Linked DNA regions of Saccharomyces cerevisiae S288C. The gene in region 2 interacts genetically with the main gene of each other region. Each region holds a gene or a part of one and is shown on either strand. Other genes may lie near its edges. The genes, in order: YKR104W, XBP1 and CCA1.

Evidence for each region.
Region 1: mutations in XBP1 (region 2) and YKR104W together harm fitness more than expected from each alone (negative genetic interaction), as found in Saccharomyces cerevisiae (one large-scale study listed by BioGRID).
Region 3: mutations in XBP1 (region 2) and CCA1 together harm fitness less than expected from each alone (positive genetic interaction), as found in Saccharomyces cerevisiae (one large-scale study listed by BioGRID).

What each region holds. Positions count from the first base shown.
Region 1 is NC_001143.9:651,003-662,135, reverse strand, and holds YKR104W (uncharacterized protein), read right to left. Parts: upstream 5,301-11,133; coding exon 4,380-5,300; downstream 1-4,379. Other genes in the region: GEX2 (glutathione exchanger), read right to left, coding at 1-694; VBA5 (basic amino acid transporter), read left to right, coding at 1,672-3,420; putative multidrug transporter NFT1, read right to left, coding at 5,400-9,056.
Region 2 is NC_001141.2:173,587-181,465, reverse strand, and holds XBP1 (Xbp1p), read left to right. Parts: upstream 1-4,215; coding exon 4,216-6,159; downstream 6,160-7,879. Other genes in the region: glucose-induced degradation complex subunit FYV10, read right to left, coding at 1-1,039; FMC1 (Fmc1p), read left to right, coding at 1,227-1,694; SGA1 (glucan 1,4-alpha-glucosidase), read right to left, coding at 1,813-3,462; YIL102C (uncharacterized protein), read left to right, coding at 6,579-6,884; YIL102C-A (uncharacterized protein), read left to right, coding at 7,874-7,879. UniProt on the Saccharomyces cerevisiae protein: Transcriptional repressor which binds to the consensus sequence 5'-GCCTCGA[G/A]G[C/A]-3'. Represses CLN1 transcription.
Region 3 is NC_001137.3:512,571-524,616, forward strand, and holds CCA1 (tRNA adenylyltransferase), read right to left. Parts: upstream 10,100-12,046; coding exon 8,459-10,099; downstream 1-8,458. Other genes in the region: aminophospholipid-translocating P4-type ATPase DNF1, read left to right, coding at 174-4,889; BCK2 (Bck2p), read left to right, coding at 5,646-8,201; RPH1 (Rph1p), read left to right, coding at 10,799-12,046. UniProt on the Saccharomyces cerevisiae protein: Nucleotidyltransferase that catalyzes the addition and repair of the essential 3'-terminal CCA sequence in tRNAs, which is necessary for the attachment of amino acids to the 3' terminus of tRNA molecules, using CTP and ATP as substrates. tRNA 3'-terminal CCA addition is required both for tRNA processing and repair.

The DNA.
Region 1 (11,133 bases), on a different chromosome or scaffold from region 2:
TAATTGGCAAGGTAGAGAGTGGGTAAATAAAAGCCCACATTGCAATATTCCAGGACCAGTTTTTCTGAGGATTTGCTGCTGTGATAATATTGCCTGAAATCCATGGTATTATGATATATGGCCAATATGAGGCGTACTGGTAAAACATTCTCCATTTCAAGGAGGAGAAATCTGAGAGTATTAATGTCAGGAGCAGATTTGTTCCGACGTATCCACAGTTATAGAAAACCGATCCTGCTGCATACATGGTGAGACGGGTCGCCTGTGATTGAATGATGGTTCCCATTATATAAAAAATAGTTGCAACTAAAAAAAGCCTTAGTCTTCCGAAGTGGTCAGAGAGTCTAGAGTAGACAACTTGGGATCCGACACTCACAACAGCATTGATAACTTGGACAGTTGAAAGTAAGGAGTGTTCTGAATATGAGTTCGTTGCATAGCCCGTATAGGTCGATCTAAGTGTGTAGTCTAAACTAATTCCAAACCCACATACAAACGCGGTACTTATCAGTAGAATTTTATATTTCAAGGAATCAAACTGTGCAGACATAATTTCGTTTTCTTTGAGCTTAAAAAAGGTCGATGTCATAGAGTACGTGTCATCGTTTGAGTGACGTTCTCGCTCAATAATCTCACAGGACTGCCTAATTCCACTTTTTTTATTACTTGAGGCACCAACAACACTAGAACTCATCCGATAATTTATTTACTTGATTATTCTTTTTTTTTTTTTTCTCGTTCCAGTCCATAAAACTATTTTACTTTTCTTATTTATGTAAATAGTATTTAAGATTCTACGGTCGCTACATCTGCTAGAAATGGAATTACTTTAATACATTCCATGTTCTCATATATATTTTACTGACACATTTTGTCACTATTTTTTTTTTAACTTTTTTTTGGAAGTACTAAAATTATATGCTCGTAATTATTGAGTATCAAAAAAAAATAAAAAAAATTGCTGTGACGCCCCTTCAATGTGGTGTCTATACACCTGGTGACTTTAACTTTAACTTTGACCTGTCGTCGTACAATCAACTTACTTTCCGAAAATCCACAACGAACCAGTTATACCGAAGACTTTTGTACGACAAGAATACTGTACCGTCGAAACTATCTCTTTTCAAACTAATGAGTGAAGCTTGTGTTTATGTCTGTTGAAACAAGGAAAAAAATGCGGTGCCTGTCGACAGGATATGAGCACAAGTGCAAAATCATCAAAAAATTGAGTACCTAGATCCGGTGGTGTAGGACGAGCAAAGTTCCTTCATAAACAAACCGTAAGGGTTACTGATACACAATTTCCTTTGTGTAAAGAGTATTTGAGCAAATTAGTCGGCGATTGAAAGCAACACCCTTTTTTCTATATATAGTAGGTGAAAGTTAACATGCGAGTAAAAGTAGTGCCACATTTCCTTTGCAGCAGGTGCAAATTAGTACATATTTAACAGATAGCGCCGCACCTCATATGCAGCGCGTACATGATACGAGTCGACAAAATATGCAAAAGATAATAGTGTCATCACACCTTTATGAGAAGCGAATTTTTTTTTTTTTTGGTTTAAATATATATATACATATATATAGATGTATTCTAGTTATACTCATACCTAGAACTGATCAGACCAGATCATACCTGGTATAGAGCTTAATCGATAGAAATTCAAAAATATGGAGGAAACTAAGTACTCTTCGCAGCAGGAGATAGAAGGAGCATGTGGTTCAGACGCTTCATTGAATGCTAGAGGTAGCAATGATTCTCCAATGGGACTTTCCTTGTACCTCTGCCTGGCTTCGTTAACTCTTGTACTATTCATAACTGCACTGGATATTTTGATAGTGGGAACTATTATTGACGTGGTCGCAGAACAGTTCGGAAACTACTCCAAAACAGGTTGGCTCGTTACAGGCTACAGTTTACCAAATGCTATTCTGAGTCTCATTTGGGGAAGATTCGCATCTATCATAGGTTTCCAGCATAGTCTCATTTTAGCAATACTTATTTTTGAAGCCGGATCCCTAATTGCTGCCCTTGCCTCTTCAATGAATATGCTCATTTTCGGTAGAGTTGTTGCTGGTGTTGGGGGAAGCGGACTCCAAACGCTTTGCTTTGTTATTGGTTGTACGATGGTTGGTGAAAGGTCACGTCCATTGGTGATTTCCATCCTAAGTTGTGCATTTGCTGTAGCTGCTATCGTTGGTCCTATAATCGGAGGTGCCTTTACAACCCATGTTACCTGGAGGTGGTGCTTCTATATCAATCTTCCTATCGGTGGTCTTGCCATTATTATGTTTTTACTCACCTATAAGGCCGAGAATAAGGGTATACTTCAACAAATTAAAGATGCTATAGGAACAATCTCGAGCTTTACTTTTAGTAAGTTCAGACACCAAGTTAATTTTAAAAGACTTATGAATGGCATAATCTTCAAGTTTGACTTCTTTGGTTTTGCCCTCTGCTCTGCAGGGCTGGTCCTTTTCCTACTGGGGCTAACCTTTGGTGGTAATAAATATAGTTGGAACTCTGGCCAAGTCATCACATATTTGGTTTTGGGTGTCTTACTTTTTATTTTTTCATTGGTGTACGATTTCTTCCTATTCGATAAATTCAACCCGGAACCTGATAATATATCCTACAGGCCTCTCCTTCTAAGAAGATTGGTAGCAAAACCAGCCATAATAATAGTAAACATGGTAACATTTCTATTATGTACCGGTTACAATGGGCAAATGATATACTCTGTCCAGTTTTTCCAACTTATATTTGCGTCGAGTGCATGGAAAGCCGGTCTTCACTTGATACCAATCGTTATTACCAACGTTATTGCGGCCATTGCAAGTGGTGTGATTACCAAAAAGCTCGGTTTAGTTAAACCACTCTTAATATTTGGAGGCGTTCTTGGGGTAATTGGAGCAGGGCTTATGACACTTATGACAAATACGTCCACGAAGTCAACTCAAATTGGTGTTTTGCTATTACCGGGGTTTTCCCTTGGATTTGCTCTACAAGCATCGCTCATGAGTGCACAGCTTCAAATTACCAAAGATCGTCCAGAAGCTGCTATGGACTTTATTGAAGTAACAGCTTTCAATACATTCATGAAGTCATTAGGTACAACTCTTGGTGGTGTGCTTTCAACCACTGTTTTTTCCGCCTCCTTTCACAATAAAGTATCACGAGCTCATCTAGAGCCTTACGAAGGAAAAACGGTTGATGACATGATTTTGTATCGTCTTCAAAACTACGACGGTTCTCATTCGACTATTGGAAACATTTTAAGCGACTCCATTAAGAACGTATTTTGGATGGATCTAGGGTTTTATGCCTTAGGATTTTTGTTTTGTAGTTTTTCATCCAATAAGAAATTAATCATACCAAAAAAGGACGATACACCAGAAGATAATTTAGAAGACAAGTAGCGCAGTTATTTTCTTATTTTCATTTTATTTTTTTTCGCCTTTTATACAGACTTCAACACAATCAGAATCAAATAGGTGTATCGCAATGGAATGTAATTTCTTAAGTATTCTATATGTACTTAAAACCTATTAATATATGGATCAGTAGTTCATAAAATTCATGCTGGTGCGTTCAAAGATGTGTCTTTAGTAAGAAATCTGGAAAATTCGCGAGCCTGAATATACTCATCGCAGTGCAAGAAAAAGGTTGTCTTCTTTTCTTTTCTTGACAAAAATGCAGCGATAACCTGTAAAGAGAATCTCAAATAGACACATGATAGCAGCTGCGTAATAACAGACCTCAACCGCAATCACATTAAAGGCGTAAGCAAATTTGGCCAGCAAAATTTTCGTTTGTTCCTCGACATAAATTCTCATCAGAAAAACTGTTTACTGTCAGTGCTTTTGTCTTTGCCGCCAATACGGCAGAGAATTACATAGTATACTACGATAAACTTCTATAAATTTAAATATAGATAAAAATAGCACGATATGAACCACGGTACTCTCCAATAGTATACTTGCGATAAAATCAGCAGCTAAGTACTGAATAAGCATTTAAATTATGGTATTTTTTTTTTGCTCCTGCTGAATATTCGGGATTCTTAACGAGAGAGTTTCTTTTGTGATGATATAATATTATTTTCTAGTATAAGTAAAACTATCAAAAAAAAGTAATAATAACGTAGCTTGTTTATATACCATAAAATGTACCAGCAAAATTTTGTTTGGCACAGACAGGTTCAAAGGAGTTATTTCTTAAAGTTCTCAAAAAAAGTAGTGGATTAGGACATATAGCCCTGAAAAGTTAAAAGCGACTTCCTGAATGCCTTCTAATTACACACAAATATATGACGTAAGCAGATCGTATACTTCGTAGCTAGAACTGGAATGAATAAAAATAGGAAATTCTAGTTGTCTTATCTTTTATTATCGAATGAGACTTTAGCCAACTCGAAAAGGTTTTCGAACTCGCCACTCTGCCTACAGAGGCGGTAAAAAATGGTATTTCGATCAGATATTAGAGTGTATGGATGATCATACTCCTTGACTCTGCCCATTTCCATCACCAGAATTTTGTCATAATCTATTACTGACCTTAATCGATGAGCAATAGTCAAAATTGTTGTATTTTTCATTGTTTCTCTTATAGTTTTCTGAATTTTAGCATCAGAAATATAATCTATTGAGGCGGTTGCTTCGTCAATTAGCATTATATTACGTGCACCAAGCATGGATCGTGCCAAGCACAAAAGTTGTCTTTGCCCTTGAGATAAGTTTGAACCACCTGATTTCACAACAGTATTCAAATCAATGAATCTATTTCTTAGTTTATGACTAGAAAAATTAGGCTGCTCTTGCTCAAAAATCAAGCACAATTCATCGCATTCTTCAATTAATCCCACTTTGGATAGTACGCCATAAATTTGTACATCAGAATACCGATCGAAAGGATCTAAATTAGATCGAACAGTTCCATCAAATAAAGTAGGATCCTGTGGGATGCAGCTTATAGAATTTCTTAAACGCTCTAAAGGGATATGTTTTATGTCTTTGTTATCAATAGTAATCGTACCGTTTTCCCAGTCTGAAAGCCGGTAAATAGCCGCTATAATAGAAGATTTCCCAGCCCCTGTTCTACCAACAATACCAACTTTTGTTCCTGCTTTTACCTTGAATGATACATTATCTAGTGCCTTAGAGGAATGAGGAGAATAGCGCAATGATAAGTTTTTTAGTTCAACATCTCCTGTTTGAGGCCAATTAGCTGGAGGTGATATGTAGCCGTTTGATTCGGAAGGTATATCTGTATATTCTTTTATTCTCTCTACTGAACTCATCAAAAGTTCAACGCTTGAAAATACTTTTATGATCCATTGAGCAGTTTCAGTAAAGGAAAAGGCATTCGATAACAGTATCCCCGCTAGCCCCGCATCCAACTATGAGGCCTTCATTATGATCATTACAGAAGAACTAAAAAGAACAAGTGTCCCAATTATATCCACTCTATATGTGATCCACTCGGTGGCCATATTGAGATAAAAAAATGGAGCATTACTTCTGTCAATTGCAACCAAAGATTGAGTGATAAACCTACGCTCATCTGCTAATGCTCTAATTGTAGTTACTCCTTTGATGGCTTCAGCGAATAACTGGTGTATTGGAGAGATATTGATGTTATCTATTCTCTTCAACTCTCTAGATGCACGAAGATATAACGTACATACGGTATAATAAAGAGCGCATAAAGGAATAGCAAATAACAGAAATTGAGGAGTAACATATCCAATTAAAAGTATAATCCACAGACAAACAACGACGCTATAAGAGAGTCCTTCGAAATTAGGGATCAATTGTTGATCAATAATATCCATATCCTTGCTAAATCTGTTCATTATTCTTCCAGTCGGCGTGACATTATGAAAACGTAACTTGGCATATAAGATACTGGATAGAAGCTTCGCAAATATTTTCTTGGTGACGTTGGTACCTGAAATTATTGCTATCCAAACTTTACCAGAAGTTAAAAATGAAGAAACAAGACCTATGATAATATAAGTCAGTAAGAAATAGATGTTAGAGTGACCCTCAACTATTCTATAAAGCCAGGTAGACTTACTCCCTGAAGATCCAGTGTCCAGCCAGTATCTGAGCCAAAAGCCCTGAGACAGTGTGATTCCATGAATAAGGATGGAGGACGAGGTGAAAACAAAAACAACTCCCAGTCCCCCGAAATAGTCTGCTAACCATTTGTAAGCTGAAAATTTAACTGATCCTTCCATTTTTGTTTCCTCAAAATTTTCAACTTCAGCACACACTTCGTCTTGCGAGTTCCCTCCCTCGGGATCTCCATTCTTAGTTTTCTTTGATGTTGTTGATCTTTTCAAGTCAATTTGATTGTGAGTTGTATTTTTTGAATCATTGTTTATGCTTTCCCTCAAAAACTCATTAGATTTAATGAGGTCCGATGGTTTACCCTGTGATTTCACCTCGCCACGATCTAAAATCACAAGCCAGTCAGCCCGTTTCGTAACTAAAGAAATATTATGACTCGTAATGATGCAGGTCCTTCCTTTCATCATGGGGCCGCATAAACACTCTTCATATATATAAAGTGCAGTTTCAGGATCTACTGCACTCAAGCAATCATCAAGGATCAAATACCTGGAAGAGGAGTAAATTGCTCTGGCTAAAGCAATCCTTTGCTGCTGTCCGCCAGATAAGGAAAATCCTCCATCACCCACGTCTGTTCTTATGCCAGCTGTCATTGCTTTGATATCTTTGTCAAGACAACAGGATTTCATTACATCATCAAATTTTTGTTTGTTGAAGATTTCTCCAAAAACAACGTTATCTTTAATTGTTCCACTAATCAACCACGGAGTTTGAGAACAATATGCCATTGAATTCGTCATTCCGTCTTTACCAATCTCTAAGTCGTCGCGGGATTCAACTGTAGGTACGTATATTTTTCCAGAAAGAAGGTTCAATTCTCCCAATAGTCCAAGTAATAGCGAAGACTTTCCTGACCCAGTCGGACCTATAATTGCGTTGAGACTATTCAGCTTAAAATCAATAGAAATGTTCTTAAGTTTAAAACTTGTTTCAGCAGCTTCCCATTCCATGCTTGCATCTTCAAAGCCAAATTTAGTATTGCTTTGTTCCAAAATCTCATATTTTCTTGTTTCTGATTCATTAAGATAATCCTGGATTCTTTCAAGAGAAATAAAAGACTGTATCAAAAGGCTGACAGTCGAAGCAATTTGGTCCATGGGTGTCCTCAATATTGCAAATAAAGAAAGAGCTGTAAATGCTATTGTAGGAGTAAGTGTCTGATTTTGGAATTTAATAAACACTGAGAATGTTATTGCAGAGACCAAAGTGGGCCCAAAGAACCAAATGAGATGGTTCAAAAAGAAAATTGTTGCCTTCTTTTTAAGGAGTCTTATTTCCCCATCTCTTACGTTTATAATCTTTTGATAAAACAGATTTTCCCATGCCAGTAGCTTTATTACACGTATTGAGTTCAGAGCCTCACTAATCCCAGAGGTACGCTTGTCAGTTAGGATTAATTGATCGGCCTGATAGTTCCCGTAAAAAGTTGCACACCAAAAATTCAAAGGAATCATGGCAAGAAGAGCAAAGGTACCAGCAAAGGCGGACCATCCCAGTAGGGAATATAGTATCATTAGGGCCGTAACTGTCATGAAAACTGCTTCACATGCCAGATAAAAAGTGTTCATAGCTTCAGAAACCTTGAAAGCGTCAATTGACATAACATTGTTCACAGAGTTGTCTTTCCTACTAGACTTTTTTCTAGGTTCCGCTTCAGAAGAGTCAGGATTTTCTTCAAAGGATGTTGACGCATTTTTTTGAAGTGACGTTGTTGAGTCTTTTAGAATTGTTCTTCTTAAGGTTTTGGAATAGATATTGGATATCAAAACTGTTCTTAGTTGCATAGTACCCTTTTCACCTAAAAACAATCCTTGACCTCTACAAGTCGTGGCAATGATTTTACTGACGAGCATAGATGAGACGTATAAAGACACCAAGTTCCATGATTTTGACTTTGGGTCATTAACGTATGATAGTATTCTTGGCATCAACAATGAGGGTACAAAGTTCAAAAAACTAGATACAAAAGCCAGAAATAATTGGGAGATGAAAACAGCCTTAAAATAACAAATAATGTTTGGAAGGAGCCTTCCTTTTTTAGAAGACATTTCAAAGTTCGCCAAAATTGCTATAGACTTATTATTAATATCCAAATCCCAAATATCAGCGTTTCCAAGGCAGTGTTTGTATGCTTTCCAAATAAGCCGATCAATCCTAGAAAAAGTAAGAAGGCCAAAGACGGTAGGAGCCGGTGGCAACTTTTTGTTCTCATTTTCAACCAAAAATGAGTACCTAGTTCCTTCTATACTTGACGTTGATAATAATAATAAAAGCGCTAAATCAATGAAAGTCTCGGAAATGATATATTTGACCATAATTTTATCTTTTATCTTTCCAATGAAGACGGAACGAAGAGGTAAAATCGAAAGAGTAAACAGGGATGCATATGAGTAAAACGAAACAGCCCATAAATCACGCTTACATGCTAAAACCCACCGAAATGACTGGCTTGCTGAAATTAAACGAAGTGTAATAACAACAAGCAGTAAAATCCAGAGAAACATTTGAACCAGAAAACCTTGGTGAAAGAACTTTTTGTTATCCATTGGCATACTAGATAAAATATACAGGTGGATAGTAAGCTGCAAAACAATGAAGGCACCCTCTATAAATTTTTTGAATTTGTCGAAAGTAGATCTATTATTAACATTACAAAAGCTACGGCTTTCCCATGCAGATTTTAGTCTTAAAACTGAGAACCTTGCATATTCGTGGTTTCCATTACCTTGTTCTTCAAATTCTGGCGCTTCATTTGTATGATTTTTCCCCCTTAGATAAAAGGCTCGAAAGACTTTGCAAAACGCGTATATCATACCAGTCAACAATATAAATAGAGGAAATTTAAACTCGATATATTCTCGCCTAGCACATTCCGAAAGATCATCACGTTCCCAATAGGGGCATGTACCATTTTTTATCATTCCTAAAAATTAATACTGTGAATCGTGAAAAGTATGTTTAATAACTAAAAAACAAATATTCCAGAACGCCAGACTTACGCTATGGTTATCCTATATTTTACTGATCTTTCCATAACAAGTGGTAATCCAATTTTTTAGGCATTTTTTATAGATAGTAACATGATTTTTTTATGACAGAGTAATGCACCCAATAACTTCTAAAACAGTATGATATCCCATTTTCGTTTAATAATCGATCATGCGTTGTACTGTCATGTCCGACTTTATTTGCTCAAAAGGACTTTGTTATATTTTTGGTTGCATATTGACAGTAAATTGGACACCCTGAAATTGCAGTTTTGAGAAAGTTACAACATGGCGGAAAAATTAACTATCGTGATTTTCATCAAAAAAGCGAGTACTCTCCAAAGACCTTTGACCGTCAGTTCTAGTAAAGATGAAACCCAGGAAGATATGTTAGAAAGTGATGTTCCGTGACCTTTTTTATTCTTTCTATTAAACTAGGACTCTAAGATATAATTTTTTTTTATTTTATATACCATTCGATGACAGTCTCATAAATCTTGAATATTTTAAACGTGTAGTTAAAATGTACGCAACTGTAGTAGGAGAGTAAAGAAATAAAATTGTTGAAGAGTGATTATGGTATTTTTCTAAATCGTGGGACAAATGTTATATTTTGTGAAATATGGCACTTTCAAAGAGTTGAAAATTTTGATCAAAAAAAAAATGATGCTATAAGCGAAATAAATCTAATATCTTGGTTAAATCTAGACACCATTATCCAATAAAAACAACAATATATTTGCACAATATTCCGAATAAAGCTTTTGATTCCAAAACTGTAATCATCAATTAAGTATAAAGATCATAAAAACCACCGGGTTCCGCTGAAGAAAAAAAGTAAAGCGTTTAAAAATAGCCCATTTTATCAAGAAGTACGTTGGTAATCCCAGAACCTATTTACAAAACGCAGTGCATCAATCTTGGTTTTATCTTCCTCCAATATATACTTGTAGGACGGAGGAAATTTTCGATTCACATTGATTCAGGTAAGCTCAATCTATCTTTCTAAGCTCACATGTATTTGTTGCTCATAACAAAACTGGCTTTTCAAAAAGCACTACACTGAAGGGTTTTAGAACTCTTGGCTTTTAGTTCGTCATTTCGTAGGGCCCCAGAATTTTCCACCCAAATATCGATTACAAAAACCCTCTGAAGAAAAGCGATAAAACAATTATTTTTTCCATTACCGGTTCGCGACGTTGCTTATGTACTTTCTATTAAGCTTAAATCGCGTTTATTCTTATTCATTTCTTTACGGTTGAAAATACACTCTGTTATACCTTATTAACACTTTTTTATTTTCCATTCTTACTCAAATAGAAAGATAAATATTCTAGGTTAGTATTTGTGAAAGGTTCTTATAGTGAATATTTTCTTAGTATGAGCGTCTATTATATTATCTGGAAATTCAGAAGTACTGAATACGACCTTAGTGTTAGCCAACTCAATAAAGACACTGCTATAGTGGTGCTCAATTAAAATTACCGTGAATTTCGGCTCTTGCCAGAAGTTCTTTATGGACTTTCCGAGTATCGCCATGCTAGATTTAATCGTTAACAAGTTTCATGATTTCAAATAAATGAGGCTTTGCTGGTGACAATTCAGAAAATCGGTACCAAAGAATGCCTATCCTACTTTGTACACTTTCATTAAGTTATGCGATCAATTTTCAAATAAAAAATTGTAAATAGCTTTTCGCGTAAATTAAAGCTTACAAGCTGAGAACTAAGACGACGTAGAGCTCTCTACCTAGGTGTGTTTGTACTCATAATTTAGGTTTAGGATATGTGTAACATCCATGCACAACGAATACATTAATTTCAAAAACATAACATGAATCAATGTGATGCAGCCAGTGTGTGATTAGATACTCACATATATTATTACAATATCAATTTCTTCCAGTAGCAATTTCATGTTGGGAAAACACACTAACAATTTTAAAGAACACATTGGTTCATTATAGTACAGCCCACTCTTGAAAACATGGATCTCAGCGTGGTAACATCGC
Region 2 (7,879 bases):
ATCTTTCGAAATCTCCACTTTGTAAATTTATTAAGGAACTCTTGTCATAGTCTGTTGTATTCACCGCAGGTTTGGAGGTAATTCTAGGTAAAGATTTGTGAAAAAAATGTTGAAATATTCGATCTTTCTTCATTGGTAAACTTTGAGACTTAATCTCTTCAGTATCGAATCCAGAGCTGGTAGAAGAAGTTGGCTTTTGATCATTACAGTATTTGATAAAAATCAGAAGTCCAGATGCTAATTTTAAATCGGTGAAGTTGCTCTTAACGAATGGTAAAAGGAATCTTTGAAAACATACTATAGCGTCGGTATAGTTATCCACCTTTAGTAGTTCAATATATTCTTGCAATCTTGCTTGAAACTCTAATATAGAGGACTTTTTGGTCAGTGTCTTTTTGTTCTCGTTTATCCATGAAATTAGGGGTAAGAGATTACGCTCATGTAGTAACGAAGTCGAAATTCTATTAGCCTCCAAGAGGACATCATAATCAATGAGATCATCCAGTTGGCTCTGTTTCAAAAACACTACGCCAGAGTTCCAATGATCCTTTGTCTCCGAGTTGTATTTAATCGGGTTATTCCTCGTCAGATAATCACCAATTAAAATGTTTGTATAACTCTGATACCACTGTATCAATTTAGTCCTGGTACCCTCATTATTTCCATTGTGCGATGTTCCTGAATTTTGTGACTTGATGTCCTTCAGTTCGTGGAAAAACTCCAGCCTTTTTTTAATTCTGTTCAAAATCTGACAGTAGGACTTGATTTGCGTATTTAAAAATCTTTCTATATGGTCAACTTTCCTAATCATTTCAGTTATTTTTGCTAGTGCCAACTCGTCGTGCTCAACGTCATTATGTTCAAATATTTGATTTAATGCGGCCGTGTGTTCATGTAGTGATTTGGTTTCCTTATTAATTACCGCTTGAGTATGCTTGATACGTTTGGACAGTAGTTCATAAGGAATATGAAATAATTGTTGATTTAATTTCAAATGGAAATCCACATCAGGCTCATTAAATATTGATTTCTCTGCCATGGCTTACCTACTTTCCTATAATTTATAATCATTTTCTCTGTTTTATGTATGAAATTGTAGATTTAACCACCCCCTTCTCTTCGCCTTTGCAAAAAGTGAATATCTCAAATTGCACTAGAGTTTCATTTGCAGCGATAAGTGGATAACAAAAAGCTGAAAAGAGAGAGAAAGAGAGAGTGCCAGGGAAATGGATAGACCAAGAACATTACGCACATATAGAGGACTCATAAGAGCCATTCTGAAATATGAAAGGCCAAGCAAGATAGTCAATTGGGGCAATCTACGAAAGGCAATGATAACAAAGTTGGAATATGCTAAGAAACAAAATCAGAGAGACTCGCATGAGAACATCAACAGACAGTTAGAGAAATGGAAAAAACTAGATCCGGTAAGCGACAGATCTTTGAATTTGTTTATAGCCGACTCTAAGTCATTACGTTCCATATTACAAAACGATATAAAGTGGGAGAAAAAGGTGGCCCAGGGACAAAACGTTGACGAGATATTCGAACACGCTTTGGACATCATCAAGTTCTTGGACAACCAAAGAGAATACGAGGAGCTGGTCGACAGATACAATCCTGGCAACAAGTTGACACAGGATGAGAAAGTGAAAAGAACTGCAAACGTGGTTGGGCTGGACGTTCCGACATAGTATCTAATCAATTTATAATATCAGAGTTTTGTAAATAAGTATATATATATATTTGATGTAAATATCTAGGAAATACACTTGTGTATACTTCTCGCTTTCCTTTTATTTTTTTTTTTGTCTACAAACTCTGTAAAACTTCTTGTCTTATTTGATAGGCATCCCAGAATGAAGTATAGGACCAGGTAAGGTGTTGGGCACCCTGCATAAACCCTGTGTATTTGTTAAATTGTTCACTTAGTTCCCCGTCTGTTCCCACGTGAGCTTTCAGCTTGACCAAGAATGAATCAGCTAGTTGGAAGATTTTTTGTATGGTTTGATTGAAGGCAGGTGTATTGAACTCCAAAATCAAATAGCCTTCGTCATTTCCCAAAGTCGTGAGGTTGGAGAATACCAGCTCGCTCCAAAATGCGTTCGAACAATCGTTGTTCATTGGGACAACCAAGTCATGCTGCTCAGAGATGTGTCTGTAAATGAGCTGATAAAGCGTTGTTGAAGCGGTACACGTGGCCAGGACCCAGGGATTTCCCTCGCCAAAGCCATATCCATCATATACGTCCTCAGGATACCGGCCCAGGGCAATACCCGTTGCATTTTTGGAGCTATCGTTGATGGGGTATATCGAACGCATGTGCAACATCAAATGGTGCAACGTGTTCAGGACGGCAGGGTCATTGATATCGAACGGAAGATGGGAAGCAGATGGCGCATCGTGGACGGTGTTCGCAGCTAATAAAGTGGATATGTCCAGTCCGGATCTCAATGTGTCGGCAATCATGGGTGTCCCAACAATATAATTGTACTTGCCGTTGATAAACCCATTCGCAGGGTCCACTAAAAACTTGGAGATGTCCCGGCGTGTCTGACGCAATTCTTCAACAAAGGGAGACGACCGTTCTGAGGCGTTAAAATACGACAGCGACTTGTCCACTGCAGACAGTTGTACCAGTAAAGTAAAGAAATGCATGCCATTGACTTCCTCCCATAGATCAAATCCGGAAGAATTCCAGTGGTCAATAATGAACCTCAGGTCCCAACGTACAATATCATCAAAGATATCTGCGGTGGACTGGAATGGGTACTTGGCCCCCAGATCAGTGCCAGATTGCTTGATGTAGTCGATGATTTTTAAGATGGCAATGCTTCGAAGAGCAGGCCCATCGTTTTGAGGACGACCCCAATCTTCCGTGAAAGCCGTGTTGTCGACGTTCCACTTAGGGTCTCCCAAAGCCACTGTATCGTTAGTGTAACCAATGCCAGCGCCCAATGTGTTGTTGCTTCTTTGCAAGTGGAATGAAACGTTCAGGTACTGCAATAACGTCTCTATTGCCGGGCCCGCAGAATGAGAGACAATACTGTTTATCGTCAACGCGCTGTCCCTTATCCATTGGTAGAAGTAGTCTGGATGCGTTTGCGATGGTGACGCAATCACGACCCCAGGCGAAATAGACGGATACACGGCGCTGGGCCCAATATTTTCAAATATTTTTTCGATGGAAACTTTTTTCTGTCCCTGGAGCCATTCCTCCAGCGCACTACTGTCCCAAGCGCCGTTTGAATCGTATACCACTGTCCCATTCATCAAGACTGCATCCCGCAGCTGCACTTGCGAAGGGCCGTTGTTTGAAAATACACCGCCGTAGCTTTGATCGAGAATGCCCTTGCCAAAGTCAAATTCGTATATAGTAATGTTCTCGAGCGCCCAAGCAAACCCGAATCCTACGCTGAGCATGCCGAGTAATTTGTTATAAAACATCTTTTGTCTTGCCATTTTGCTGCTGTTACTTATTTGAAATCTTGCTCTAGTCCACGATTATCACTATATTGTAAATGTACGATTTCTTGTGTAACAGAACAGATAACGGATCCAGAGCCAAGAGATGAGAAAAAATACGAAATGCGCAGGAGGAAACAGGGAACCAAAAAAGGACCCTTGCTTCTGTGCCTGAGTCCCCTAATTTGTGACTCCACACATGCAGGCAAGTTAAAAGCACCTTGTACGAGTGCTATGAATGGGTGTTACTCTGGCCCGATTTCCCTGACTTTCCTTATTCACCCTCACCCCTAATACCCGTTTCCGCGGATAATGTTCTATGCTTCGAAGCGCCCCCCTTGCGCTGGGCCTCGAACCGCATCCATTGAACAACAGCTTGGCCTTCCCTGTATTCTACCACATCCATTGCTATTGCCCCTCTCCCCTTCTCCTCTCTCTTCTTCTCCACTATACTGTGCTTTTCAGCCCATTCGGCGCGCGAAATCACAAGCTGTATATATACATTTACATATACATATATATATATATATATATGTGCATAAATGTATGTACATATATGAATGCCGGGCCGCGTGGCGTCTGTAGCTTGTGCGTGTACGTGTGTACACACTTCAACATATATATACATACATATATATATCTATTATTCGTGTACTAGTGTTTTAACTTGCTCGTTCTCGGTACGCATCCAGTTCTTCTCCCCACACAACGGCAAGCTCAAAATACCTTATCATAGACACCTTCTCCAACATGAAATATCCCGCTTTTAGCATTAACAGTGACACGGTACACTTAACGGACAACCCCCTGGACGACTATCAGCGTCTCTACCTCGTCAGCGTACTGGATAGGGACTCGCCGCCGGCCAGTTTCAGCGCCGGACTCAATATTAGAAAGGTTAACTATAAATCCTCCATTGCTGCGCAGTTCACACATCCAAACTTCATTATCAGTGCTCGGGACGCAGGGAACGGGGAAGAGGCGGCGGCGCAGAACGTTCTGAACTGCTTCGAGTACCAGTTTCCCAACCTACAAACAATTCAGAGCCTAGTCCACGAACAAACGTTGCTATCGCAGCTCGCTAGCTCCGCCACTCCTCACTCCGCCTTGCATCTGCACGATAAAAATATTCTGATGGGTAAGATCATACTACCTTCCCGGTCTAACAAAACACCAGTCTCAGCATCACCCACCAAGCAAGAAAAGAAGGCTCTGTCAACAGCATCGCGTGAAAATGCCACCTCCTCGCTGACAAAGAATCAGCAGTTCAAGTTGACCAAAATGGACCATAATCTGATCAATGACAAGCTCATCAACCCTAACAACTGCGTAATATGGTCGCATGACTCCGGCTATGTGTTCATGACGGGCATCTGGCGGCTGTATCAGGATGTTATGAAGGGGCTTATAAACTTGCCCAGAGGTGACAGCGTTTCCACTAGCCAACAGCAGTTCTTTTGCAAGGCTGAATTCGAGAAAATTCTATCTTTTTGCTTTTACAATCACAGTTCGTTCACTTCTGAGGAATCTTCAAGCGTACTGTTGTCGTCCTCCACCTCTTCGCCGCCAAAGAGACGGACATCCACAGGGTCTACCTTCTTGGACGCCAATGCGTCTTCTTCATCTACTTCTTCAACGCAGGCAAACAATTACATCGATTTTCATTGGAACAACATCAAGCCCGAACTGCGGGACCTTATTTGCCAGTCTTACAAAGACTTCCTGATCAATGAACTTGGTCCTGACCAAATAGACTTGCCCAACTTAAATCCGGCAAATTTTACGAAAAGAATAAGAGGTGGTTACATCAAAATTCAGGGTACTTGGTTGCCGATGGAAATCTCAAGGTTGCTATGCCTGCGGTTTTGTTTTCCGATCAGATACTTTCTGGTGCCTATTTTTGGTCCAGATTTCCCCAAAGATTGCGAATCGTGGTATTTGGCTCATCAAAACGTTACATTTGCTAGTTCTACCACTGGTGCAGGTGCTGCTACTGCTGCTACTGCTGCTGCTAATACAAGTACCAATTTTACGTCTACTGCAGTGGCAAGACCTAGGCAGAAGCCCAGACCCAGGCCAAGACAAAGATCTACTTCCATGTCCCATTCCAAAGCGCAGAAACTTGTTATTGAGGACGCCTTGCCCTCATTCGACTCATTTGTAGAAAACTTGGGCCTTTCCTCAAATGACAAGAACTTCATTAAAAAAAACAGCAAAAGGCAAAAGTCGTCCACATACACCTCTCAAACTTCTTCTCCAATAGGGCCAAGAGATCCAACGGTGCAAATTTTGTCAAACCTAGCATCCTTCTACAACACCCACGGTCACCGGTATTCATATCCGGGAAATATCTATATACCACAGCAAAGATACTCTTTACCCCCACCAAACCAGCTCTCGTCGCCACAGCGGCAGCTAAACTATACTTACGACCACATTCACCCAGTTCCTTCTCAGTACCAGTCTCCAAGACACTACAACGTCCCCTCTTCACCAATCGCGCCTGCTCCTCCCACTTTCCCTCAACCTTATGGTGATGATCACTATCATTTTTTGAAATATGCTAGCGAAGTTTATAAGCAACAAAACCAACGACCAGCTCATAATACAAATACCAATATGGACACCTCTTTTTCGCCAAGGGCGAACAATTCACTGAACAATTTCAAATTTAAAACAAACTCAAAACAATAAAAATGTCATCTGTTACATTTTTGGTAATATTCTTTTATAATGGTTCTTTAATTTTTTTACATAATTTACATATTATTTCAAAGTTTTTCAAAAATATCCGTACTATATGTTTTTCCAGACAAAACATAAAACATACAATGATCTTTTTGAAGAGAGAATTAGTACACTCATTACAAGGTGTATGACGTGCCGAAGAAAAAAATTGCTTCCAATCGGATTTGAACCGATGATCTCCACATTACTAGTGTGGCGCCTTACCAACTTGGCCATAGAAGCTCGTACTTGTTGGTTCAGTACTCTTCATCAAGCTATACTATTTATCTAGGATGACGGTCACAGTGATTCGTACTCGACTGCTTCTATAATCTGTAGGTGGCTTGCGCATATCCTGAATTATCGTAATTAAAGAACCAAGTTAGATGCTAAAGGTGGAAAAGTTCAAAAAATTGAAGCGATTCGAGGTCTATTATTGTTTAAAAAATTCTTTTCTGGAAGAAGTAGATATCGAGATGAAATATTCCTGCAGTATAACAACTATAATGAGCAATGGTTCAGCAAGCTTGTTGATGAACTGGGAAGAATTAACACCTGGTCACTGTTTTACCTCTTACACAACTAACCCTATCGCAGGTGACTATGGTTTGAATGCATCAGCAATAGACGGCCACACGGAAGAGTTAGTGGCGACCCACCCAGCGGGAACCTTGGAGAATGCAACGCAGTAGGTTCATAGCATTCGCAAATAATGGCATAGCCTCACATTTGCTGATGAAAATGGTACTATTCTGCCACAGTCCTGCTCTTTCTTTACAGAAAATGAAGAACATTAGAATGTTGTGATAAAAATTTAGGGTTACTTATTTCATGAAGGCAGTAATAATACGTATGAAAACATTAGTCAATAGACGATTGATTATTATTCCAACAATAGTATATCTGAACAGCCGTACGCAAAAAAAGCAAATTTAATTGCTGACCATTATTCAGAGCAGCTGTTTTGCCAACGTTTGCTCAAGCTATTGTCCAAATCAAATAGAGAGATACGAGTAAGCTGTTCATCAATGCTATGACTTTTAAACACATTTGATTCTTACTGCGAAAATTCCACTAGACAATTAGGGCTAATATGTGACATGCATATGTGACATGCATGTGGTGCAATTGCTGTTAAACATGGGCCTGTAAGCGGGCCAGCACATCTTCAACGGCAACCTGCCTCGACGTTTGGATGGAATATACTGAACTCAATGTGATGACCTGAAGCCACAGTCAACTCCTAATTTTCGAAGTCATTGTAGCGAAAGTATTTCTTAGACGGGATACTGTTGTTTATGTTCATAAGGGTGCCTCGATAAAAACAGATTCAGCCATATCCAACCTATATGGAGTGATGAAGGAGTAAAAATCAAGTATGAAAGCTAAACCACGCAGCAGAATATCGTAGAACCCAGCAACTAACAGAAATAACTACATTTTCATAAAATCTGACCCAGATTATGGAATGAGGCTACAACTTTATTCAGTGTCTAAAAGAATAGTTTCGCACGGAGAGCTTTTCCGCCTTACATTCATTTCCGCTAGCATTCCCGTGTAAAGGAATATATTTGAAAGAGATACAAAGAAACTGTTGATGACTGCGTGTACTCTAAATGCAATACTAGCTCAAAAATGTGAATAGTCACCGGTTGGGCATAGTAAACGTCTGTTTAGTTTCATGAAC
Region 3 (12,046 bases), on a different chromosome or scaffold from region 2:
GTAATACGCAACTCAGACAGTTTTAAGTGGATTTTTAGGGTCGCAATTAAAAACACTCAAAAATTAACCGGAGGTTGAGCAAGGGAAAGCAACCGTAACAGAAATCCTTTATTTCCTCCTGGAAGTGAAATAAAAACGCAGTTAACTTTAAAAAGGAAAGTTAGTTGATAATTATGTCTGGAACTTTTCATGGCGATGGGCATGCTCCCATGTCGCCCTTTGAAGATACATTTCAATTTGAAGATAATAGCAGTAATGAAGATACACATATTGCACCTACCCATTTTGATGATGGTGCAACAAGCAACAAATACAGCCGGCCACAGGTCAGCTTCAATGATGAAACACCCAAAAATAAACGTGAAGATGCAGAAGAATTCACATTTAACGATGACACAGAATATGACAATCATTCCTTTCAGCCAACACCGAAACTTAATAATGGATCTGGGACGTTTGATGATGTGGAATTAGACAATGATAGTGGTGAACCGCACACTAACTACGATGGTATGAAAAGATTCCGGATGGGTACAAAAAGGAATAAAAAAGGAAACCCAATAATGGGAAGATCTAAGACCTTGAAATGGGCTAGGAAGAACATTCCAAACCCATTTGAAGACTTTACGAAGGATGATATTGACCCTGGTGCCATAAATCGTGCGCAAGAACTAAGGACTGTGTATTACAATATGCCCTTACCAAAAGATATGATAGATGAAGAAGGCAACCCCATTATGCAGTATCCTCGTAATAAAATCAGAACTACCAAATATACCCCGTTAACATTCTTACCAAAAAACATTCTATTTCAGTTTCATAATTTCGCCAACGTTTATTTCTTAGTTTTAATAATTTTAGGTGCATTTCAAATTTTTGGTGTCACGAACCCTGGTTTAAGTGCGGTTCCGTTAGTTGTCATTGTTATAATCACTGCGATCAAGGATGCTATTGAAGACTCAAGAAGAACCGTCCTAGATTTAGAGGTGAATAATACCAAGACACATATTTTAGAAGGTGTTGAGAACGAAAATGTCTCAACCGATAATATTTCATTGTGGAGAAGGTTTAAGAAAGCAAACTCTAGACTCCTTTTCAAGTTTATACAATATTGTAAAGAACATTTAACTGAAGAGGGCAAAAAGAAGAGAATGCAGAGAAAGCGTCATGAACTAAGAGTACAAAAAACTGTTGGAACGAGTGGACCCAGATCCTCTCTAGACTCCATTGACAGTTACAGAGTATCTGCAGATTATGGCCGTCCTTCATTGGATTATGATAATTTGGAACAAGGGGCCGGTGAAGCCAATATAGTTGATAGATCCCTACCACCCAGAACTGATTGTAAATTTGCCAAGAATTATTGGAAAGGTGTCAAGGTTGGTGATATTGTTCGTATCCATAACAATGATGAAATCCCTGCTGACATTATCTTACTTTCAACGTCGGATACAGATGGTGCCTGCTACGTAGAAACTAAAAATTTGGATGGTGAAACAAACTTAAAGGTACGCCAATCCTTGAAGTGTACCAATACTATAAGAACGTCAAAAGATATTGCTAGAACAAAATTCTGGATCGAAAGTGAAGGGCCCCACTCAAATTTGTACACTTATCAAGGTAATATGAAATGGAGAAATCTTGCAGATGGCGAGATACGAAATGAGCCAATTACTATTAATAACGTTCTGCTTCGTGGTTGCACTCTTAGAAATACTAAGTGGGCAATGGGTGTTGTAATGTTTACCGGTGGTGACACAAAAATCATGTTAAACTCTGGCATTACACCCACCAAGAAGTCCAGGATTTCAAGAGAACTAAACTTCTCTGTGGTGATAAATTTCGTGCTACTTTTCATCTTATGTTTTGTTTCTGGTATTGCAAATGGTGTATATTACGACAAAAAAGGCAGATCACGGTTTTCCTATGAATTTGGAACAATTGCTGGGTCAGCGGCGACAAACGGTTTCGTCTCATTTTGGGTTGCTGTTATTCTTTACCAATCTTTAGTCCCAATCTCTTTGTACATTTCTGTGGAGATCATCAAAACTGCACAAGCGGCCTTCATTTACGGAGACGTTTTACTCTACAATGCCAAATTGGATTATCCTTGTACACCAAAATCCTGGAATATTTCTGACGATTTAGGTCAAGTGGAATATATATTTTCTGATAAAACAGGTACATTAACTCAAAATGTAATGGAGTTTAAAAAATGTACTATCAATGGTGTTTCATATGGAAGAGCTTACACCGAAGCGTTAGCGGGATTAAGAAAAAGACAAGGTATCGACGTCGAAACCGAAGGTAGGCGTGAGAAGGCCGAAATTGCCAAGGATAGGGATACAATGATCGATGAACTGAGAGCTTTATCAGGAAATTCACAATTTTATCCCGAAGAAGTTACCTTTGTATCAAAGGAGTTCGTTCGCGATTTGAAAGGGGCTAGTGGTGAAGTACAACAAAGATGCTGTGAGCACTTTATGTTAGCATTAGCTTTATGTCACTCCGTCCTTGTAGAAGCAAACCCGGACAATCCAAAAAAACTGGATTTAAAAGCTCAATCTCCAGACGAAGCAGCGTTAGTAGCCACAGCTAGAGATGTAGGATTCAGTTTTGTTGGAAAAACCAAAAAAGGGTTGATAATTGAAATGCAAGGTATTCAAAAAGAATTTGAGATTCTAAATATTTTGGAGTTTAATTCATCGAGAAAAAGAATGTCCTGTATTGTCAAAATTCCGGGTCTGAACCCAGGGGACGAGCCTAGAGCACTTTTAATTTGTAAAGGTGCAGATTCCATTATATACTCAAGATTAAGTCGCCAGAGTGGTAGCAATAGTGAAGCTATTTTGGAAAAAACTGCTTTGCATTTAGAGCAGTACGCTACTGAAGGTTTAAGAACGTTATGCATAGCTCAAAGGGAGTTAAGTTGGTCTGAATACGAAAAATGGAACGAAAAGTACGATATTGCTGCTGCATCATTAGCAAACAGAGAGGATGAATTAGAAGTTGTTGCAGATTCCATTGAACGCGAATTGATATTATTGGGCGGTACAGCTATCGAAGATCGTTTACAAGATGGTGTTCCGGATTGTATAGAGTTGCTTGCAGAGGCAGGAATTAAATTATGGGTTCTTACGGGTGATAAAGTTGAAACAGCTATAAACATTGGATTTTCTTGCAACCTTTTGAATAATGAAATGGAATTGTTAGTTATTAAAACAACTGGTGATGACGTGAAAGAATTCGGATCAGAACCAAGTGAAATTGTGGATGCTTTACTCTCCAAATACTTGAAGGAGTATTTCAACTTAACCGGTTCAGAAGAAGAGATTTTTGAAGCTAAAAAGGATCACGAATTTCCGAAGGGTAATTACGCCATCGTTATCGATGGTGATGCTTTGAAATTGGCGCTATATGGTGAAGATATAAGAAGAAAGTTTCTTTTACTCTGCAAGAATTGTAGAGCTGTCTTATGCTGTAGAGTATCTCCATCTCAAAAAGCAGCCGTTGTTAAGTTAGTCAAGGATTCTCTAGATGTCATGACACTAGCCATCGGCGATGGTTCCAACGACGTCGCCATGATTCAATCTGCGGATGTTGGTATTGGTATTGCCGGTGAAGAAGGTCGACAAGCTGTTATGTGCTCAGACTACGCCATTGGACAATTCAGATATTTGGCTAGATTGGTCCTCGTTCACGGTAGGTGGTCTTATAAGAGACTGGCAGAAATGATTCCTGAGTTTTTTTACAAAAACATGATTTTTGCTTTGGCATTGTTCTGGTATGGTATCTATAATGATTTTGATGGGTCTTACCTGTATGAATACACATACATGATGTTCTATAATTTGGCATTTACATCCCTACCAGTCATCTTCTTAGGTATTCTGGACCAGGACGTGAATGACACAATATCATTAGTGGTCCCTCAGTTATACCGTGTTGGAATTTTAAGGAAAGAATGGAACCAAAGAAAGTTCTTATGGTATATGTTGGACGGATTATATCAGTCTATTATCTGTTTTTTTTTCCCTTACTTGGTTTATCACAAAAATATGATAGTTACGAGCAATGGGTTAGGATTGGATCATCGTTATTTTGTCGGTGTTTATGTGACCACTATTGCTGTAATTTCGTGTAACACATATGTTTTATTACACCAATATAGATGGGATTGGTTTAGTGGATTATTCATTGCACTGTCTTGCCTCGTAGTTTTTGCATGGACGGGAATATGGTCTTCTGCGATAGCTAGTAGAGAATTTTTCAAAGCTGCAGCGCGTATCTATGGAGCACCTTCATTTTGGGCTGTTTTCTTTGTTGCCGTGCTGTTCTGCTTACTGCCCCGTTTCACATATGACAGTTTTCAAAAATTTTTCTACCCAACTGATGTGGAAATAGTAAGAGAGATGTGGCAACATGGCCATTTCGATCATTATCCTCCTGGTTACGATCCAACAGATCCCAACAGACCCAAGGTCACAAAAGCTGGGCAACACGGAGAGAAGATTATAGAAGGCATAGCACTTTCCGACAACTTAGGAGGATCGAACTATTCAAGGGATAGTGTTGTCACAGAGGAGATTCCAATGACTTTCATGCACGGTGAAGATGGAAGTCCTAGCGGATATCAGAAGCAAGAAACCTGGATGACTTCACCCAAGGAAACACAAGATCTTCTTCAATCGCCCCAATTTCAGCAGGCCCAAACGTTCGGAAGAGGCCCATCAACCAACGTCAGGTCATCCTTGGACCGCACAAGAGAACAGATGATCGCCACTAACCAACTAGATAACCGCTACTCTGTGGAAAGAGCGAGAACATCTCTAGATCTACCAGGCGTAACTAACGCAGCCTCCTTAATCGGAACACAACAGAACAATTAATAATGATATCCGAACCATAGCTGATGGAACTCCGCTTTTCACTGTATATATAATATTACATAATATTACTGGATAAGCCTTAGAAGCCTTAGAAGCCTTAGAAGCCTTGGAATTCATGCATACTACAGCGTTAACTCTTTCTTTTAGCAAGTTTTAGTAGCGGACGTGTGGGTTTCTTTGTTCTATAATTAACACTCCCGGTTAACCCGGATCGCTATTATTCAAGGACGCACAATGGTGGGCTAATTTTTTCTTCCGATGGAAAACTGACGCCAGCACTTTCCAGCGCTGGGAACTCTCCACTAACTGGCAAAAAAATTGATTAAGGTCATGATCAAAGGAATTTTTGAAATGTTGTAAAGTAGAGTTAAGAATTAATCAAGCCGTGATACGTATGTTTTTGACTAGGTGAGAGACTATATTTATCAAAAATAGTTTTTTATACTAACAGAAAGTTTATTATATCATAGAAATCCTAGGCCTATTGTTATTATTTGCGTGAAAAAAGGTTCATGCCTAGTTATTCAGGATATTAATCAGGCATAGTCATAGTTTTGTAATACACGTCTTTCACTCCTATTTCCGGTTAACATTCGCTAATATCCATCAAATTATTGACTTTTTTTTCAGTGGATTTGTTGTTAATAAAGGAAACAATCAGATCAGCCATTTAGGGAAGTCTTTTAAGAAAGCTCAGAAGGAGATCTAAGACAAGAAGCAAGGCAGTCTTGATTTATCGCTCAAAACCAATAGCACATGCCGAAGAATAGTCACCACCATCGTTCCAGTTCGGTTAATTCCACAAAGAGTCGTTCTACGGAATCTACGAATAAATGGAAAATTCCGCACTATTATCGCAGATCCGCTAGCGGCAGCACACAAGCTTCGCCGGACAGGAACTCCTCAACAGGCTCATGTAGCACTCCAGTATTACCTACTATGAATGTTATGTCTAGCCCGAAAAAAGTTTTGCTAGAGGATCCCAGAGACAACCATACTAAGGCGAAGAAGAGTAGTAGAAAGAAATCAGGTGAAATGGTCTTCGTCAATTATACTGTACAGGACACGGCTAACGAAAATGATACTGACTTGCAAACCCAGCCGGTTTCTGTGCCAGCACCAAAGGCGAAATTAAAGAAGAAATCCTCCAAAAGGAGAATGCTGAAGATATTTGGATCGTCAAAGAACGAACACATAGAGGACATCGTTGAAGAGCAACCAATGGTGCTTCAAATGGATTCAGAATCTAAACCCCTTTCGGGAACCCCTATCTCAGAAAGCGGAATCGACGCCTCGTCACTAACAACCAAAAGATCTTATAACTCGTTCTTAAAACACAATAGGCTAAACGGTAAAACTCCGTTCTCTGGAAACTTGTCCTTTCCATCATTAAACATGATGGGTAACACTACTGATCTGCCTATTGACAATAACGATTTTTGTTCCGAGAAAGAAGTCGTTCCGAAATCAACTCATGATCCTTCACTAGCAAAACCGCCATCAAGGTTCACTGAAAGCGAAACAAATTCTACTCCCAACTTATCAAGTATACCTCTCATGAACACAAAAAATACAAGATTGAAGTACAATAAAGTGGCGCCTCAGAGTTCAGACCGACAAAAGTCACAGGAAAGTGGGCTATATCATTCTACCGAATCATTCAACTTCAAAGATCAAAACTACAGTAACAATAAATCCTCTTTAAGTCTGAACTCCGATTTAAGTACACCCCACTTTGCAAAGCATTCACCTGATTCACCAAGAACTTCAAGATCTTTCAACTGCGGAGACTCACAAAGTAAAGTTAAATTACCGGAAGAAAATGACGCTTCTATTGCATTTAGTAAGATGTTTACTAGAAAACGAGCCAACACTGGCGGGTCCACGTGTTCGCTAGCCTCACCCACTATTGCACAAACTATTCAGCAATCAAATATAAAAGTTAATAAATTGCCAACTCAGCGAACCACTTCAGTTGGCTCATTATCATCCATGTCAAATCGTTATTCACCAATAAGAGTTGCATCGCCAGGAAGAGCAAGATCCGCAACTCGTGGGTCTTCCCTTTATAGATTATCCAGAGACCTTAATTCTTTACCAAGCGTCACTGATCTACCAGAAATGGATAGTACAACCCCAGTTAACGAAATATTCTTGGATGGCCAACCACAGCATAAAAGTGGCAGTGTCAAAGGAGGGCATAGGAAGAAACAAGAATCTATCTCTGATGCTCAAAGAATTCAACATTCTAATTCGTACATTACAACACCTTCATCTTCTCTGGTGACTCCTCCTTACTACATGACAGGTTACACATTACCAAGTTCTGCATCTGCTTCTTCAACTCCAAATGTGCTTGAAACACACAATATGAACTTTGTTCCAAGTACCAGTACTGTTACAAGTTATCGCCCATCTAGCAATTTTTCCTCATTTGACAAAGAATACAGTAACGAAAACGACGCTAGTGGGGAATTCTCTGCTTTCAATACTCCAATGGAGAATATACCGGCACTAAAAGGTATACCTAGATCCACGTTAGAAGAAAATGAAGAAGAGGATGTCCTAGTACAAGATATTCCGAATACGGCACACTTCCAAAGAAGGGATATTATGGGGATGGATACTCACAGAAAGGATGACAGTTTAGATTTTAACTCTTTGATGCCACACGGTAGTACAACTAGTAGCAGCATCGTAGATTCTGTTATGACGAACTCAATATCCACTACAACAAGCAACGCGACCGGAAACTACTTTCAAGATCAAGATAAGTATACATTGGTAAATACGGGATTGGGATTGAGTGATGCAAACCTCGATCATTTTATTAGATCTCAATGGAAACACGCTTCTCGATCAGAATCCAATAATAATACCGGAAATCGCGTTTCTTACAGTGGCTCAACACCAAACAATGTTGATACAACAAAGACTAATTTGCAAGTGTATACCGAGTTCGATTTTGAAAACCCAGAGTCGTTTTTCCATGAGCAATCGAAGCTACTAGGTGAGATGGGCCACAGCAATAACAACAGCAACAGCGCCATCAACATGAATGAACCCAAGTCTGCGGATACATACATTGGAAATATATCTCCGGATACTTCAGCAACTGTTTCATTAGGCGACCTGATGGGCTCAAACGTTTCAAACAACAGTGAAAGAAATTTTTACGATGGTCATACTTTCGTTCCACAGTATCAGGCGAACTCATCTGTGGAAAACTCAAATAATCAAAATGCAGCACCAATTGCAAATAACGACATTGATAATAATTTACAGTCTTTTTATTTTGATAATAGCAACTAAAAAAGGAATGAAAAAAAAAAAAAAAAGTTCAAAAATAGTAACAGATATCTTTCGAAAAAGTTAAAAACTGGTAAAAAATTTTGAATAGAGTATATAAAAACTAATAAATATGTTTAGTTATCATACACCATAGAATAACTACTAGAGATATTATTTCATTTTCGTTTTCATTTTTTTTATTTTTTTCTTTTCAATAAGGTAACAGAAAGTTATTTATGCATTCTTGTTCTACATGTCTTATGTATACTAATAAGCTACTACAGGTATTTTGGTAGTATGGCTTTTAAATGAGTTATTAATTCTTGATCAGTCCCTGTAGGATTATCAAACTGCCACCTAATCGCTTCGTTATTAATTTTACCCAGCCATGGACCTGGCTTCATTTGAAGTAGTTTTGCCATTTGTTTTCCGTCCACTATTGGTTTTAGTTCATGACAATTATTCAAATTATTGTCAAATATGTAAGAATAAAATTCATTGTAATTTTGGAAAAGTAATTCAATTTTTTTAGTTTCAAGCTTGGGAATCTTTAAAAATGCATCTGATAGAGATGCAAAATGTGCTGTTTCCCATTCGCCATTAAAGTTCCGTAGAAATATACCGATTTCGGATTTTTTTAGCTGGGAACGATCTGCAAACTTAGCAAGTATTTCCTCATATGAACATATTGAATCTACGGTCTTGGCAATAACTGCTGCATCATTTTTACTCAGCTTCAATCCTTCCTTCACAATGCTTTCTGTCACCGAAACCAGGTTGTTAATTTTCTTCTTTGGGTTCCCGATTATTTGTAAATTAGCCATGGGGGACAGGATCGCACTCAATATAAAATTTTGCTGAAATCCTGGCGAACGACCAATTTTTTCCCTTAAGATAGGAAGCTTCTCTAAAAACATTGGATATAATTCAATAAAACTTTTCAAGTGTGAGTTTAGTATGTTATCATTGTATACATGATTAATTTTGTCCATATCTTGACAATTCTCTTCGTTGAATTTTACGACGGAGCTATCATTATGCCAAAAAAAGATAACATTTTCAAGATGAGCCCTTTGAATCAGCTGCAAAGCCAATAAAGGGGTTGGTCCTACTAATATTTTCTCCATCTCCACACCAACTCGCTCTCTAGAAATTTTTGAATTGAATGCAACATTAATCTGAGGATCGCCCATTTCAGCCATCACTTCCGGATCTATGGTAAAGTTGAATCTAGAAGCAAAACGGATCAACCTCAAAACCCTCAAGGGATCATCCAAAAATGTTTGTTTTGCAGGAAGCGGAGTACGGAGAACGCCATCTTTTAGATCTTGCAGACCTCTCTTGGTGAAATCTTCCACTTCACCTTTATGAATGTTATAGAAAAGAGCGTTCAATGTAGCATCCCTTCTTAAAGCGTCTTCCTCGGGTGTGCCAAAGCACACTTTAGGTATCCTGGAAAGTTCAGTATACTTTTCAGATCTTAAATTGACAAAATCCACTTCAACGCCAAAGAGCTTAGTAGTGGCAGTTTCCAGATGCTTGGATTTCTCGGGATTCTTGTCAATCTTGTGGATATTATGAGGCTTGGCTCCATATTTGGCGTAATGTTGTTGCAAATACTCGTTCAAACCAGTAGCAAATTGCTCACCTGACATCACATTGATGGCAATATCCAAGTCGTGAGAACCTTGTCCCAGAAGCTTGTCACGCACCCATCCGCCCGTGATCCGAAGAGTCAATGGCTCAGGCTTATTGTGGTACTTTTGATTGTACAAGTCTGTATAATCGTTCAGCAAGTTACAGATGTTCTGTTCCACTTTGGTTAAGGTGATTTTGGGTGCATTTAGAACAAAATTAGAATTCGTCATCGTTTTCTGAGCAGCACTATTCATCAGTAGAGATATAGTAGACCGTAGCATACACAAAAAAAGCCCTTATAACCCACGGATACGAATTAATCTCGAGGGAAGCGTTGCGATGTATTATGTAGTTTCCTTTAGTACATTGTTAATATGGTAGATTTTTGCGATTCATTTTTCAACTTTTCAACCCTAACGAATGTTTTTTAGGGCTGAGTAACGACAAGAACACAACCCTAAAAATCAGATGACCTAAGGGTTTGGTGAATCGAGAAAGTATGCCCTATTTCCCCCGCCCATACACCCCATAAGCCTTAACCGCAGCCCTCCTCTCCCCTAAACGTTTCTTTTTCTTTTTCCATTTTTTTTTTTTTTTTAGTTTTACTTTCTTTTTATTCGGAAAAATCTTTTCTATATTTTTCAAGGGTAACCTCATCGCCATGCAATTAATCACATAGACTCCTTAAGTAACAATGGCAAGGCGATAATTTTAAGAGAATTGCAGACGCTGTACATAGATCGTTATCAGCAAAACATATATTCGCATCGAAGGCGTTGCTTGTCCCTGAAGTAGCTACTTGCGGTTTTCATCAAGCGGCCAATTTAATCATTCTATCAGCATTATTTTAAAATAGGGGGACTTAACCTTTCTATTAGTACCACTTATTTTATAGATCTGCTGGAGAAAAATAAACAGATAAAAAAAAGGGAAAAAAAGAATAAGACTGTCTTGGTGAGGATATTCAGTTGCGTGAAATCATGACGAAACTAATCGCTCCTTCAGAAATCGTGGGCGGAGTGCCCGTCTTCAAACCCACATACGAGCAATTCGAAGATTTCTATGCATACTGCAAGGCCATAAACAAATATGGCATGAAAAGTGGTGTTGTGAAAGTAATCCCACCTAAAGAATGGAAAGACAAATTAGATCTGCCTTATTCTGCGGAAACGCTCCAAAAGATCAAGATTAAATCACCTATTCAGCAGCATATTTCTGGTAATAAAGGTCTTTTTATGGTGCAGAACGTGGAGAAAAACAAGACCTATAACATTATACAGTGGAAAGATCTTTCTAAGGACTATGTGCCTCCGGAGGATCCTAAAGCAAGACGTAATTCTAGGAAAGGCTCCGTTTCCAAATCCACGAAGTTGAAACTGAAAAATTTTGAATCGTCTTTTAATATTGATGATTTTGAACAGTTCAGGACGGAGTATACAATAGATTTATCTGACTTCCAAAATACGGAGAGATTAAAGTTCTTGGAAGAGTATTATTGGAAAACGCTAAATTTTACTACGCCTATGTACGGCGCAGATACACCAGGATCAATCTTTCCTGAAGGGCTGAACGTTTGGAATGTTGCCAAACTACCGAACATCTTGGACCATATGGAAACAAAGGTTCCTGGGGTGAATGACTCCTATCTATACGCTGGTCTATGGAAGGCTTCTTTTTCTTGGCACTTGGAAGATCAGGACCTGTATTCCATAAATTATATTCATTTCGGTGCCCCAAAACAGTGGTATTCGATACCGCAAGAGGATAGGTTCAAATTCTACAAATTCATGCAGGAGCAATTTCCCGAAGAAGCCAAAAATTGTCCTGAATTTTTAAGACATAAAATGTTTTTGGCTTCGCCCAAACTGCTGCAGGAAAATGGCATACGATGCAATGAAATTGTCCACCATGAAGGCGAATTCATGATCACTTATCCCTATGGTTACCATGCAGGGTTCAATTATGGATATAACTTGGCAGAATCCGTCAACTTTGCTTTGGAGGAGTGGCTACCGATTGGGAAGAAAGCTGGAAAATGCCACTGCATTTCAGACTCAGTGGAAATAGATGTTAAGAAACTCGCTAAATCTTGGAGGGACAATAATAAAGAGTCGAAAGGAACGCCACCCCTCAATCAATTACCCAATCCTGCCATGCCCTTACTTCACAGGCCAACTTTAAAAGAAATGGAAAGCAGCTCGCTTAGATCTACAAGCCCAGATGTGGGT